4 linked regions of the Drosophila melanogaster genome follow. The protein of the gene in region 1 interacts with the protein of each later gene in a pairwise test. Each region holds a gene or a part of one and is shown in the gene's direction. Other genes may lie near its edges. The genes, in order: dsx, hale, CG17376 and Mst87F.

What was found.
Region 2: the proteins of dsx (region 1) and hale interact in a two-hybrid assay, tested with the Drosophila melanogaster proteins (2 studies listed by BioGRID).
Region 3: the proteins of dsx (region 1) and CG17376 interact in a two-hybrid assay, tested with the Drosophila melanogaster proteins (2 studies listed by BioGRID).
Region 4: the proteins of dsx (region 1) and Mst87F interact in binary tests that used the Drosophila melanogaster proteins (3 or more experiments, as listed by UniProt).

Annotation. Positions count from the first base shown.
Region 1 is NT_033777.3:7,964,387-7,969,122, reverse strand, and holds the start of dsx (doublesex), read left to right. Parts: upstream 1-1,714; 5' UTR 1,715-2,660; intron 2,661-4,736. UniProt on the Drosophila melanogaster protein: Controls somatic sexual differentiation. Binds directly and specifically to the FBE (fat body enhancer) of the yolk protein 1 and 2 genes (Yp1 and Yp2).
Region 2 is NT_037436.4:19,983,880-19,987,508, reverse strand, and holds hale (hale-bopp), read left to right. Parts: upstream 1-1,640; 5' UTR 1,641-1,733; coding exon 1,734-1,954; intron 1,955-2,013; coding exon 2,014-3,013; 3' UTR 3,014-3,083; downstream 3,084-3,629. Other genes in the region: schuy (schumacher-levy), read right to left, coding at 1-726, 790-1,345; CG17732 (uncharacterized protein), read right to left, coding at 3,318-3,629.
Region 3 is NT_033779.5:6,799,446-6,802,809, reverse strand, and holds CG17376 (uncharacterized protein), read left to right. Parts: upstream 1-1,975; 5' UTR 1,976-2,057; intron 2,058-2,111; 5' UTR 2,112-2,128; coding exon 2,129-2,404; 3' UTR 2,405-2,494; coding exon of another isoform or gene 2,495-2,601; 3' UTR 2,602-2,647; intron 2,648-2,698; coding exon of another isoform or gene 2,699-2,709; 3' UTR 2,710-2,864; downstream 2,865-3,364. Other genes in the region: CG17377 (uncharacterized protein), read left to right, coding at 173-199, 263-859; CG43610 (uncharacterized protein), read right to left, coding at 3,272-3,364.
Region 4 is NT_033777.3:13,826,627-13,829,814, reverse strand, and holds Mst87F (Male-specific RNA 87F), read left to right. Parts: upstream 1-1,806; 5' UTR 1,807-1,983; intron 1,984-2,128; exon of another isoform or gene 2,129-2,236; intron 2,237-2,326; 5' UTR 2,327-2,344; coding exon 2,345-2,515; 3' UTR 2,516-2,664; downstream 2,665-3,188.

The DNA of each region.
Region 1 (4,736 bases):
GCCAAACGAGTTTCGATTCGGATGCGTATCCGCGAGATACTCTTCCCGCGCCGCTCTTTGCTAATTGATTTATGAGATTGCAAATGCAGATGCCCCCAGCCAAGCTCTTTCGACACTCCGCCATAAAAAGGGCTAAAATTTGTGCGATCCAAGGTACAAGAAATGGTGCAAGAAATGCGCCTTTAAAGCTATGTGAATTTTATCGTTCTACAATCGGCACGGGATCAATTGGTGAAGATGTAAATCGGATTTGGATGAAAAATGTATCCCCTTGCCTATGCAATATATACAGTTTCATGCAAATCAATGACAAAGCCTTCCGCTCTCACTTTCGTAAACATTTTTTAAATAATATGTTGTAGTACCCTAGTATGCAATTATATTAAGTTTTCACATTACCTCGATGATATTGATAGTTAATATAATAAGTAAGTAATTTTCTTTAAATTCAATTTTTGTATGAGCAAGTCAAAATAATTACATAAATTCATTAAATTTAAGTCACTTTATCACTTCATTTATTTAAATATTAAATTAATAACTTTTGTCTCTGAAACACTAAACGAGAATCAAAAACGGTTAATTAATGAGTATTATCTTAATGTTTTCTGATCGCTGAGCCATTCATTCCCCTACAATTTGGTCACCAATGGGAAACTACTGAAGTACCGAAGGCCCTTTCGAAATCGATTCACTGCCCAAAAATCGAACTCTCGACCATTTTTGGTTACCTTTTTGGGAGTTGCGTGCATCGCCTGAGGGAAGTATCTTTTAATGGAGCCGAGCTTCGGCAAAATTATCTCCGCCGTACTGTATAAACGATCCTGACTAATATAACGGCTGACGATGAAAGGGGACCTTTCAATGTGATAAATGCGAGTGCGACACACGCAAATCGCTGCGTCTAAAGGTGGCATAAATACGCGGCGCAGGCCGAAACCCAGCTGAGTGGTTCGACCTATATCGTCGGCTAGACGCCCAAACCCGATTCGATGCTCCCCATATCTGGCGCTTCTTCTTCTCGCGCCACGCGGAAAGAGAACGGAAGAGAGAGAGAGAGCGACCAGAGTGCAAATTTACGATCGGCACATGCAGGCGGGAGACGTCAATGTACGGCAACAAAGTTGCTCCACTCGAGCTTCTCGCAGAGATTCGCAAAAAAACACGCGAACTTCAAGAGAGAATCGCTCAGAGAGGAAGAGCACGTCTTCGATGTTTTATGCTCCCCATTAATGGGGCAAATGCACTTTACACTCTCGCAGACCCGTTTCTCTCCGTAACTCTCTGTTGCCCAAGATGCTTTCGTTTGAGTTCTTCACATACCAACGTTGCTTCGAGCTTATGAGTTTGCTAAAAATCGTGGGAACCGATGAAAGAAATGCCCTTCTATCGTATAAATGTTTCTGTTTAAAAACTATTTACTTAGTATTTAAAATAATTGACCGTTTTTCGTATTTCACATATTAAATAGCAACACAGAAGTAATGAATATTTTAAAACATTTTCCGTTCAAATACATAATTTTTTAAAATACATTTTATTTGGCTGATATTAGCGGAAATTAGCCCTTAAAAGTATGCAACGCAGGTAAGGAGAATTAAGTATCCGCAGTGCGGAACCTATATTTTTCGCGGCGAATTTAGCTCATATTACATACGATTTAATAGTTTGCAATACTTTTTTATAGTTCATAGTTCATATTGTAAGAATTGTGTTTAAATTATGTTATTTTTAGCATGGTTTACTTATGGAAAAGAGCATAGTTAAGGGTTTACAATGAAAACGGTCAAATAAGGGTATCCATATCTGGTACCAAACCAATTTGCTTTCTCCCAGTTGATGTGCAGTGCATCCAGCAGTCGAGCAGGTTGGATGCTCGCACTCGTTTCTTTTTTCGCGGTGCAGCAACCAGAGTGCAAATACAAATAGCAAGAGCGTTGCGTCGCCAGTCGGTGGGCCCGTCTCTGTGCCAGAAACACATGCTCAGTTTTAGGTCCGCCCGTCCGCCTGAATGTCCGTGTATCTGTCCGCTGTCTTTTGGTCTGCTAGTCGGACTGGTACTGGTCCGAGTGTTAGTATCGTGCACGGGGAGCTTTAGCTTTGTGGCCGCAACCAGTTTGCTGGCATCGATCGTCCTTTGCAGGTCGTGCATGTCGCGTTGGCGTCTCGCGCCGTCCGCGTTCCGTGCTCGAAATCACAATCTCAAGCTGAAGTGAAAAGAACTGGAGCGGATTCGGTACAAAATTCTGTGCGATAGTTTTTAGTTGCTGTGCGAGGTCCGAAAATATCTCTAAAATGCGTTGACCTACAGGGAACCAGATCGAGCCGCGAGTGCCATGCTAAACAAAGTCGTTTGCGGCTACAGCTTGTACGGTTTAAGATAACAAATAAAAGAAATAAATTTTTACCGGCTTCACACTCTCACTCTCGGTCCACGAAGCACTCCTGACCGTCTCGTACCCAGCCGATCGGACTCCCCGTATCTCATCGAGTTCGCCGAGTGCTAGTGCTATATTCTCTCACTTTGCTTGCATAACCAAGAGCAAAGCACACCTCGCGGAGGCAGATCGCAGATGCAGATACAGATACATATACTGCTAGTGGTCTAGTAGTGGACCTGGAGATACTCTAGCGAGTGCATGCAATTGGCATTGTACCTGGTAAGTGAACGATGAGTTACGAGCGCTCTGCGGCCAAAATGTGCCACCACTCCGCTCCGTTTTGCCACCTTTTTGCCCGGCATTTGGGGGCGTTGCAAACTGCCTTGTAATTGCCTGACATAAATGCTCGTGTGTACAAGGCTTAATGGCGATAGCAGCAGGTACGCTCAGCGATTGCCATCTACAACTGGCGGTATGACTGCTGAATGGGGGGGAGCCAGGGGTTCAGGCTATTGTCTGACTTCCAAATTAAACAGGAAACGAGCAACAGGTCGCGTTTTACAGCCACACTATGAGACTCCCGCATTAGTTTCTAAGATTGGGATAGCGTAGGCCATTGCCATTGTCGTTTGCGATCGGCTATCCTAGATGACTGCATACATATAAGGCAAATTGGACCAAGGTCTAAGTGGTTATGAGGAAAATGCAAATGACAAATACGGAAACCAACTGGCTTAAAACGATAAACACGTGCTGAATATTTTTATTCAAATTAAAGTTGAAGCGAAGGCGTTTCTTGTTAATTTTAAAGCTTACCATCGATTATTCACGAGTGCTGCAATTATAAAAAATATATGTAAATTAGAACTTAAATTTTTGCCAATGCTCATTGTGTATAGCGCGAAAGGACAGTTTACCTTTAATATTTTGTGTTATCTTGGGGATAATTATTCATTTCTTTTGGCTATTATTCTTGTCATTTGTAGTCGAAATAACATAGTTAGCCTTGCTAAGTTAAAACTCATATTTTAGTGGGCGTAAGAGATCATTAGTAGAAACTGCAGCTTGCTTTCACTCACGAAATCTCGACTTTCATGAAGACGGATGACGCAAATGGCAAGATCGAGTACACCTGTCTGTAGTCTTAAAAAAAAAGGTATAAGAACCTAGCATGCCGTTTGACTCCTCAGCAAACATGCAGACTTTTTACTCATAGATTTATATTAAGTAAGTTATTAAACCATATTAGCAAGACGAATATTTTAGTATAATATAAATCTGAGCTTGGTACATTTTCCCAAGAATATATACAAATATAAAATACCTGTAAATGCATTTTTCTTAGTGCACAGTTATAATGATCTGTACTCAACTTTTTAAGCTGCACCCCACTTGCAATTATCATATAATCGACTTAAGGTGCTTTTGCCATTTATAACGCCGAGCTGTCCTTGGCCCATTAATAACCTGAAGTGGGTTCTTATCGTGATCTCTTCCGCTTTAGACAAATTAATTGAGCATACATGCGCAAGCTGCACATTTTTTATGCTCGCCCGTAATCAATTTAATCCGCTTTTCCTTTGGCAACTTTGACCACTGTTTCCCTGCTTATATTTGTCATTATTTCCACCAAACACAAATATTGAAAACTGATAGCCAGCAGGGTCTTTCTCTTAAAGTGGCTCTTCGGAGGAATTATTTCTCTGCGGGTCTCTCAGCTCATACAAATTAGAGGCGACATGCAAGATAAGCAATCTTGTGCAGTTTTTAAACACACAGGCAAAATAACAACATTTTGCCGTGGCCAGCGGGAGGCGGTGGAAGAAGGGGGCGGGTATCTGGTGCTAGCACGAATGTGAGACCCGTTATCAGCACATCGTTCATGCTCAATTTACCCTCCATTTAAATACAGGGTATTAACTCTTTAGACTCCGAAATTAAGTCATTACAGCAAACGAAAATTGAGACAGACAAACGCTCACACTACATGTCACCTAGCTAATAGATTAAAATTCTCATCGATACTGGCTTTCGTCTATGTCACATATATTTCTCCCTATCTTTCGTTCATTAGGTTCTAATCAATCGTCAAACATTTTGAGTGTGAATCTGTGTGCATAGGCAAGTTCAATGAGTCACCATAATGTCAAACTAAGTGCAAATTAGATTAAACACGAATCAAACACGCCAGCAGGTGTGGAGAAAGTGGACAAGAAGTGTAGAAGAATCTTATATTCCCTATCTATATAATATAGAAATATTAACCACATTCTTCCCATGTATACTTTTTACTTATATTACTTATATTATTTGGTTTTTTTATTATTGATATGTAATTGATTGATGTAAAGCTTT
Region 2 (3,629 bases), on another chromosome or scaffold:
TCCTGCACTGGGAACACTGGTTGCACAAGGATTGGCACGAGCAACAGGGATAAAATCCTCCAGAAATCGGAATATTCGGCTGCTGCTGCAGCGCACAAGTGGAGGTTCCGAGAACTGGGTGCATCATGTGCTGGCTGATCTGACCACCTAATCCCATAGAAGGATGTGATTCCATGCTCGACAAAGGACAGCAGGATGTACCACCGTTGTAGCAGCCGTTTGCAAAACTCTCCGGCTTCAACATGCAGCAGTTGCTTCCGTTGGCTGGACATTGATACTGATTGCCCATCTGCATTGGGCAGACTTGACTCGTCCTCGACGGACAGCAATTGCTGCACGTGCAGCAGGAGCAGCTGGACATGCTGCTCGGCGTGGCGCACAGGAACTGCTGGCCAGGATACATGACAGGACAACCCGATGTTGCCGTCCCCGGCTGATTCATGTGCATAAAACTGATGGTCACATATGGCGAGTTGTTGGTCGGTTGAACTCGCACGTTCGGGTGTTGCTGCAGCGTCAAATGCTGCTGCATATGTTGCTGCTGCTGCTGCAGCACATTCTGCTGCATGTTCTGATGTTGCAGCAAGGACATTTGCTGTTGATGCTGCTCATTCAGCGACGGTTGTCGCTGTTGTTGCTGTTGCTCCCGATTTAATTTTAAAAGTTTTTGTCGGACCTGGGCTGCAGTTTGAAGGGATAACTTCCGAGCGGCTTGTACAGTGTTACCTGGGGAATAAAGAGGGAGGAAGGAACATAAATATAGAAGCAATCTAAAATGAATAATATAACCTTTCTGGTTGCTATTGCTGGTGGTTGGATACTGCGGAAAGGCTTTGTCCGTCTGGGATCCTGCATTAGAAATGGCGTAGGAACGCGAGGTCTGCTGCGTCTGACACTTGCCGGTTTGGTCTTCCTTCGACTGTTCTATGTCCTGTTGAATCCGATTCCTAGCCAAAGCATCCTCGAGAACCACGAACGAAGGTCTATTCGCCAGATCCTTGTTGCAGATCTTAACGAAAGGCGGCAAAGTTTCGGTTTTCTTGATCTCCTCTATGGACTTGTCATTCTTGCTCTTCTCCAGCTTTTCAGTTGAGTCATCATCGATGTCATTTGAATTCCCTTTGAGCACAGCTATGCACTCTTTCTTGGTTTCCTTAGTGCCATTCGTCAGTGGGGAGTTACTACTGTCTGCTCCGCTTTGGGGATTCTTGCATTCCTGATTAAGTGAGCTAATTTCGATGAGACCATCAGTGCCCACGGTAATCATGAAACAGCATTTGGCCACCGTTTCGTCATTTGATTTGGCCAATTGCCCTGATGATTCATTCTCGCCTGGGGCCTCCATTTTCCTGAATTTTGATGTGTTTTCCGGGTGTTGTGAGTTGATGTTTCCTAACGCATATCAAAAAGTATATCAGGCGACAAATGTACTGTCAACTTTGAAATGCTCATCGAAACTGGATTTCCCTTACTGTGTAAGTAGTGACCAAAACGTTCTTGGTGTTTAAGATTTTAGAACCATATTAATATTAATAAGATAAAATTATTTAAAAACTTGAAACAGTATTTATTTCTTAAAATAATTCAAATTATATACTAGAGAAGCAAGTCTGGTATCAATCAGTATGTCTCAGCTTTATGATGTCAAACATTTCTACACCTTTTGTGCTTTAACATGTACACAAAATTGTCATATCCGTGAGTTGGCCTCTCCGGGTGGTGAAGAGTTGAAGATGTTCTGCACGGAGAGCTGTGAGCACGGATGCAATGCAACCTCGTCGGGCAAGCTGATCGCCAATGGAAACGGTGGCGGCCTGCAGTCGCAGGGAAATTCACAGCATCAGTTCACCATGTCCTACGCTCCACTGTCGACCAACGATGTGCCCTCCAAGTCCGAGGTGGAACCACCGCGACTGGGCATGTGCCTGGTCACCGAGTGTCCAGAGGGTCTGAGGTAATTTATACATGAATTTCCATGAAAAGTGATTCGATTTCTACTCCCTTCCTCTCCAGCATTGACTGCAATGTGCCACTGCCGAATTCTTTCAATTTGGATGAATACAAAAATCACATGATCTGCTCGAGCTGTACCCAGTTCAATGGTGGCTTGGACAGATTTGGCCAGCCAGGTACAGCCGGTCCAAGTGCCAGTCCTAGTGCCAATCCATATCCAACTCCGATGCCCAATCCCATCCAGGCCTCTCCTTGCAGCTTTCATGGCCAGTGTTGTTCAGCCGGTGGACCATGCGCTGGATATGATTCGCAGCCAAATCCATCAAGATGCTATCGACAGGAATCATCGTTGGCTCAAGGAGCCCCAGCGATGCCGCAGATCTTTTGCCTGGCACCACCCAGTTCCCATGGTGGCTTAAATCAGCCCGTTTACTTGTGCAGCCTGATTCCAGTTCCGCCATCGTGGAACCTGGTGCCGCTGGCCCAACCGCAGCACTTGACGCATCAGCAGCTGCTGACGAATCCCGCACAGGACTCGCAGCTGCCGTTGCAGCAATTGGTGCAGTACGACCTGTCCTTCAATCGCCTGCTGGCCGAATTGCGCAAGGAACGGGAGAGGTCCTGTTGTGACCTGCAGATCCCCCAGCCTCTGGCTTTCCAGCTGTATGCGCCCACGGTTAGGTTTCTAGATCAGCCAGATTCCAGTTCGGCGAAGAGAGAGCCTCATTGCCCGCCGGCAGCTCCTTGTGCTCCTCCAGCTGCACCACCACAACCACCATCCTCGTCATCATCCCCAACAGCCACATCTGCCTCCGCCGCCGGGCTGCCAAGAGCTCGTTCGGCCAGCCCGAAGCGCAGTCGTTCGTGTCTCCGGAACAAGGATCTCTGGGACAGTGGCGGATCCGTACCAGGTCCATCCCCCTGCTCCTCGCCCACCCAACATGCGACCGGAAATGTGTGCATGAAGTGCGGAAACTGCTGGCATTGTCCGCGCTGCAACTGCTCCAACTGCTTCTGGCATCCCGGCTTGGTGCGAGCTCCTCCAAGAGATGGTCGCTAGGGAAGGGGACTAAGAGCCACTCCTACACTGTAAAAGAAGAAAGTGTAATAAAATTCCAAGACTTTTAAGCAAGCAGCTTGCCACTATTTCTTAATTGAATTCAATAATAAGAATATTTATTCTTGCAATATGAAGAGAGAGTCACTTTTAAGGTTTTTTTTTCGTTTATTAGTTTGTAATATTTAAACCCTATTTATAAATATTTTATGATACATAAAAAATGAATTCTTTCACAATTTCTACAGCAGCTAGGACTTATATCACAAGTAATGTTCGTTAAACAATGAACTGTAATTAAAAGTAATTATCGATCAGCCTGCATGTTCATAAAGCTAGCCACGTAGTTGGACATGACCGAGTTTATTCCGAAATGGTCGTTTCTGGGCTCAAGGGGTTGGGATTGCAAATTCCGGTGGCCGGGCAAGATCAGCGAAGCTGGCGGCAAGGGAGTTCTTATTTGGCAAGGATACGGATCCGTTCCCAGCTCAGAAATCCTTGTGCGACAACGCCTCACTTTCCGGGCAGAGGGACTAACTTGGGTGCAGGTCCTGCTGCTGGATTGGCAATACGGAGGTGGCGGAAGGAGAAATCTTTGCTGCAGCTCAACTGCCGTGGT
Region 3 (3,364 bases), on another chromosome or scaffold:
TCATTCCTCATTCGATACCAAACTCTCGGACCTTTCGTTTCGGCCAGCTTCTAAATTTTCCAAATTCCAAATTTTTCTTCCAAATTAATTTGACCAAATAGAGTAAGTTTATCCCGGGAAGACCATAGTATATTTTTAAATCCTTTGTCCTGTAGCGCTCGACGGGCTCAAGATGTGTGACGGATGTGGATCGTTGGAGGTGAGTAACCATATGCAACACACCACTGACCACTTGTGACCACTATGTATGCATCCTTTCCAGCCGCGCGGATGCCGCAGTCGGGAGTTACGATGCGGCATCATGTACACCACTTGCGACTGCGTGAAGCGGAACGGTCTGCAGGACAAGTGCCCGCGGTCCGCCTGCCAGGGCCGACCGGCCTGCCTGTGCTTCCCCTTCCCCACCTGCGGTCCGGCGGCATTCCCGCTGCGCTACGCTAACATGATGATGGGCGTGAACAATAAGCGTATGCGCTGTGCCGCCACTGGAGCACCAAATGGCGGTGCCGGATGCGGTGGACGCGTTGCCGGCGGCTGCTGTGGATGCGGTCCCTGCTGCTGTAATGTATCGCCCTGCTGTGGCCCGCACAGTCCTCCATGCTGTGGCTCGCACAGTCTTCCATGCTGTGGCCCGCACAGTCCTCCATGCGGAGCTCCGTCGCCCATTCCTTGCTCCTCTGCTCCGGGCATGTGCTGCCCTCCGCTGCCTGAAGGCGGCATTCCCGATCCGCGTGTCTGGAACTACTATAACGCACCTGTGACGTACCCATGTAAGTCCGGTCCAGGTCCGTCCACCTGTCCGCCTGTCTGTCCGTCTGCTTGTCCATCTGTCACGGCGCTGGGCGTCCGTAGAACGTAAAAACCATGGAGCGGAGGAGCACGAGGCATGCCCAAGGACTTTGCAGGTCACAGCATCTGGAACATGTGCTTGTGGTGACGCTTCATGTCCTTTTGCAGGAGCTTTATGCCCACTACGCTGATCCGTCAACAATGATAGCATGTCCTGGGCTTTGTGAGCGTAGAGGTAGGATCCATGGACCAAATGCTGTTGCCAGGCCCCAAATCCTTCATGACCCTTTGACCTCCATCCGCATCCTGTCGCGTGTAAGTAACTGCGATACCTTCTGCATTCACTGGTTTTACCTTTCTCATCCCACAGGTGGCTTATAAGTATTTCCTGGCAAGTGTTTCGATCGGATCCTGATATGGGCCACTTCCTTGGCGGGACATGTTGTCGTTTTGTGACGTAGTTTTGGTTGATAAAAAATTGAAGTTGGCTTAAATCAAGATTTAGCCAGCTGCGGAATACCCATTACTAGAAGGGCTCGAAGCTATTTGGGAACCCATGTGCAATTCGTCAGACGGTCTTGATTTAAACACAAAATCATATGTTGGTATCTGGAATCTATTTGGCATTAAATTACAAATAAACAAATTGAAATTATATTCTGTGTATTATGGGGGGTGTTAAAGGTTGCGTTTATTTTATGGCTGCACTTATGCTTCGAATATTTATATTTTAAGCCTGGCATTAGAATTGTAAATTAAGGTTGAAACCTTATGCCAAGGCCATAAAAATTTACGTTCATATGTCCCACAGATATTCTGATATTTATATTAATTAATATCAATTTTATTAGGGTGGGTTTCCGTGGCATTTAAGATTTAATTAATTAAAAGTTGAACTTTGCTGATAGTACTTTGTTTTAAACCCATTTTTTCGAGCTGGGAGAGCCATGTTCCAATCTTAGTGAGTTAGTTGACCTAAACAATTCGCGGGTCAAATATTTTGTTTTAGTGAATAAGGCAAATATAGATATATAATTATGTAGATCTGTGGCGATTTCATAATCTTTGCTAAGTCGAAGTAGGCCATGAAATTTCATAAAGTTGGCCATGACTTTTAAGCCAACCCGAACCGAAACTTGAACTGGATGTGCTGGGCCAAGGGAACAGCTAACCTCATTCGATATCTGACTCTCGGACCAGTCGCTTCGACTTCTAAATTTTTTTCTAAATTCCAAATTTACTTTTTCGATAATAACTCAACCAAAAAAGTGAGTGTTAAGTATTTGTTCAAAAAGTATAACATCTTAACTTTTCGCCCGCAGCGTTAGACAAACTCAACATGTGCAACGGATGTGGATGCTGTGGACCCTGTAATGAAACACCCTGCTGTGGCCCCCACAGTCCGCCATGCGGAGCCCCGTCTCCCATCCCGTGCTCTCCTGCTCCGGGCATGTGCTGTCCCCCTCTGCCCGAGGGCGGCATTCCCGATCCCCGTGTCTGGAACTACTACAACACGCCCCCAACTTATCCATGTAAGTCCGCTTCCGAGCTAAATGCTCCCACTCCACCATACGAACCCACAAATTCTGTCCGTCCGTCCGTTTTCGAACCTTGAGAGGCACGGGAAGGCAATGGATTGTGTGTGCCACAGCAGCGGAGAGTCTGGTCCTTGCGATCAGTGTGACTATTCGTCCTTCTCCCAAAGCTCCTTGCCCCAGGCGTTACCTTGTTAACAAGGATAACGCGCCTTGCGTGTGGTGTGCTCCGTGCAAAGCCCACTGCTACAACACTCCGCCAAAATGCTGTTGCTAGGTTTAGCCACCGACTCTGGTCCTAATCCTTTCCACTCCACACATTTGTAAGTAAATGTTTTAGTACATGTACCTCTTATTCTAATTTTCTCCCTCAGGTGGCTTCTAAGCGGCTCTGTTACTACGGACGACCCATATAAGCGGCGGAACTGAGAACCGTTGGACCATGTTGTGTAACACGTTTTGGTTAGCAACTCGATCGGATGCATCTATCACCAATATGCAGATTTTTAGGCTTTAAATATTAATAAATATAAGAAATCGAACCACTCCTTTTTAATTAGCGAGGGAATGTAACGGGTTTTGGCTGGAAACTCGTTCGGATGCACCTTTTTTCGGATGCAGATTTCTAGGCTTCAAAGTTTAAGAAATAAAAAAAAAGGATACAACTCTTACCCCAGATGGGACTCGAACCCACAATCCCCGGCTTAGGAGGCCGATGCCTTATCCATTAGGCCACTGGGGCATGTGGTTTATTCTATCACTATGCTTATATAAACTAAAGGGCGACGAAAACTAGAAATTATATCGGTCGGTTAAATTTTTTGATCCAAAAATATATATTGTGGATTTCTATATTTCTTCAATAGGCTCGAATGAAGAACTTTTAGTAACAATTTAAACAAATTTTATTGGGTACAACAACTACTGTACAGACAGGACTTTCTTCTCTACGCCCATAAAGTGGTCAAGGCTTCTTCAGTTGTCGTCTCATTCGTTGTTATACGATTTGGATCGTGAATATATAATCCAACGAGCAAAAT
Region 4 (3,188 bases), 5.9 Mb from region 1:
CGGCACGTGCCCAGAACTACCATTACCACTTTCCATTGGATTCTCAGGTTTCCTCTGTGCACCTTCAAATTGATCGGCAAGAAAACGAGCTGCAGCATTCTTCAACTTTGATTTAGACATCTAAATAATATTTAAGTTAACATCAGAGTACTATGTATGTATGTACATATATCCGACTTTCAGAACTGCGCCTTACTTTTCCTTTTTAGCGATCAGCTGCCACTTTTTAGGGGGCGGCACGTGCTTTCTTCACTTTCGTCGGCTTCTCGGGTTACCTGAATCCGCCGTTTACCCTTTCGGTCGCTCCTCACCTTTGGCCCCATTGACGGCCACGCCCCTAAAGTCATTATGGCGCACACTTAGGGATAGGCGGATATTGATTTCCCTGGGCTGACTGGCAGTACTCAGCGCTTTCCAGCCGATGATGATGACATCTGCGTGTGCCCATTGTGTTTCACTTTTCATCAAACTTATATTAATAAGTTGATGCGAGGGGCCATAATTAAAGCGAATTCGATATTTCCGGCCGGAGGAAAGACATTTGGTTCACTGAACCCAATAAAAATCCTTGAACTCCCGTCGCCAGACGAAATACAAAATATTTGTATACATATGTATTGCCAATAATCTATTTCAAACAAAGGCCAGCCACAAATATGAACGAAAAAACTAAGTTAGAGCAGCGTCTGCTGCCCTTTTGGCGGCACCCTCACAAAATTATTGACCAGAGTTCCATCCATCTCGAGTTTGAAAAAAAAAAACCAGAGAGCCACAGAGAGAAAAATTCAATGAAAGTCATTTAACCACATTTAGGTGGTAAGAAAATAATTATTTAAAATCTGCTACCGCTTTCCGATTCGATTGAGACGCGCTTCGTCACTAAGTTCGCTACTAGATTTATGTAACTAAGTTTGATTCACTTTATATTAGACACTTTGTAATATAAGCTAGATTTGTATTTAATATATCTTACTCTACTCTTGTTCACATTTCTTTGAGACGCCTTTCGTCACTACGCTATATATTTTTTCTATGATAGTGATTTTTCACCGTGCCGAAACAGAACGACTTTGAGTTGGACTTGTCCGTCTCCTCGGATGCGAGATTCTACCCAAATATTTCTGCTAGAAGGGAGAGGACTTCTGTGCGGTTTGACGACGGGGTTTTTGCTTCGGTTTCTGCCTCTGCTGATCGACACACACACAAATACATACATACATTCTAATCAACATGCGGCAAAACATATAATTCGAATTTTTGATATTTCGCCCGACCATTTTGCGAAGAAAATTGCATTTAAACGCCTATTATGCGCTTTTTATTTGCAACCCATACTTTTCTGCCCGAATGCTCCGGCTGACTCAGTCATGCACAAATACAAATCATTGTATAATCATTGTGTATAACACTAGGGTTCCATTTTGGAGGCTGGCGAGCTCTGTCAACTGGTCCACTAGGCTTCCTGCTTTTCGGGAGTTAATTAAATCCGAAATCGTAAAATCGTTAGCAAATGAAATAAATTGCGCTCAATTACACCGAGTGACATCCAAGGCGCAATCGCTGGTGATTGACCTCTTTCAATGCGACGACATTCTTGGCTCGATTCGGCTGGGGAAAAAAACCAAGAAAAAACAAAATAAAAAACATAAGCAACACAAGTCTTCGGTCAGATAATGAACTTAATATACACTTGCATATATAGTATACCCGTTCAGCCCCGATACCCGGATTCTCGGCAATCGGCAATCGGCTATGCGCCATGCACTTAATCAAAAAGTACGACAAAATCAAGAGTAAACAAAAGTGCAGCGCAGAACTCGACTTGAGAACCGGCAGCGATTCGAACTTCAGCCGGGTGCAATGAACACATGATCCGACAAAACAAAAATTTAAATCTCATTTACCTCGTTTATATGTTACAGTGCACTGGAAAAATAGTGGCAACTTGATGCGTTCCTACCAAGTTGGATGATAACTACATAGGTAGGATCGAAATATAAAGGTTAATTCACATGAAGATTGAGCATTTCCCTACTTACAATACAATCATTATAAGCTTTAGCCAATGCTTTAAACAAAATATTTTATATAGTATCCTTTGCCTCTTCAGTCCGACTTGTCAAACCGATATACCTGTGCGTAACCAGATTTTGTATCATTATTATTTGTCCTTTCGGCCTGAACACATCAAAATTTGTCGTCTAGTCTCAAATTATTTCTTTTTGTTCGGTTCAAAGTGAGTGAAAATAAGTGAAAATTTACAAAAATGAAAATGTGTAAAAAATTCCTATGGCATATCATTTAAACGTACCTTTTCTCCCTTCAGAACTTTTACGAATTAATCATGTGCTGCGGACCCTGTGGACCCTGCTGCGGACCTTGCTGCGGACCCTGCTGTGGTCCATGCGGACCATGCGGAGGAGGATGTGGACCCTGCTATGGACCGAATGTCTGCGGACCATGCTATGCCTGTGGACCCTGTGGCGGCTGCTATTGTGGATACCCTTGCTGCTAGACAGTTGCAACTGGCCATGTCCAAGAAGGGTTCACCAGAACACCAAGACGATAGGATAGAACCTATCCCTATTTCATCCTCGTATTCATCTAATATTCGTGAACCACAAATATAGGTATTTGAGACAATAAATATGAGGTGTAAGCTTCAAGAAGGTTTGGTTTTTGATTAGTGATAATAGTCAAATGCAATTTGCTTAGCCAAATATCTGATTTTAGAACACAGATACAGATGTTTAGACGCAAATGCGACCTGAATTAGAATCGATCCGCAGTCTTCTAATGCGATGTGGTCGACCTTGACGTTTCGCCGAGAGTTTATTGTCCTTTCAATAGAACACGCTAAATAAAACTTATTTAAGCAGGTACATACATATTTAACCCGCACACAGTCATGCATGTTCTTGTGTTTTTGTTTTTATTTTTATTTTTATTTTACTTTTGTGTATATTTACTGCACTAATTCTGCGACGAACTAGTTTCGGCACAGCGGATTCCGATTCCTGAATTCCGAGCGGTATTAAACGACGGCGAAGCGCAAAAAGTCAACAAAGTGCATATAAAAAATATATTTAAATTTACCCGAATGCCGCCGTCTCCAGTCGCCGATCCGATCCCCCTGGAGATGACCGCCCCCCCCCCCCCACCCCTTTTTGGCCATATTTCTGGCCAAC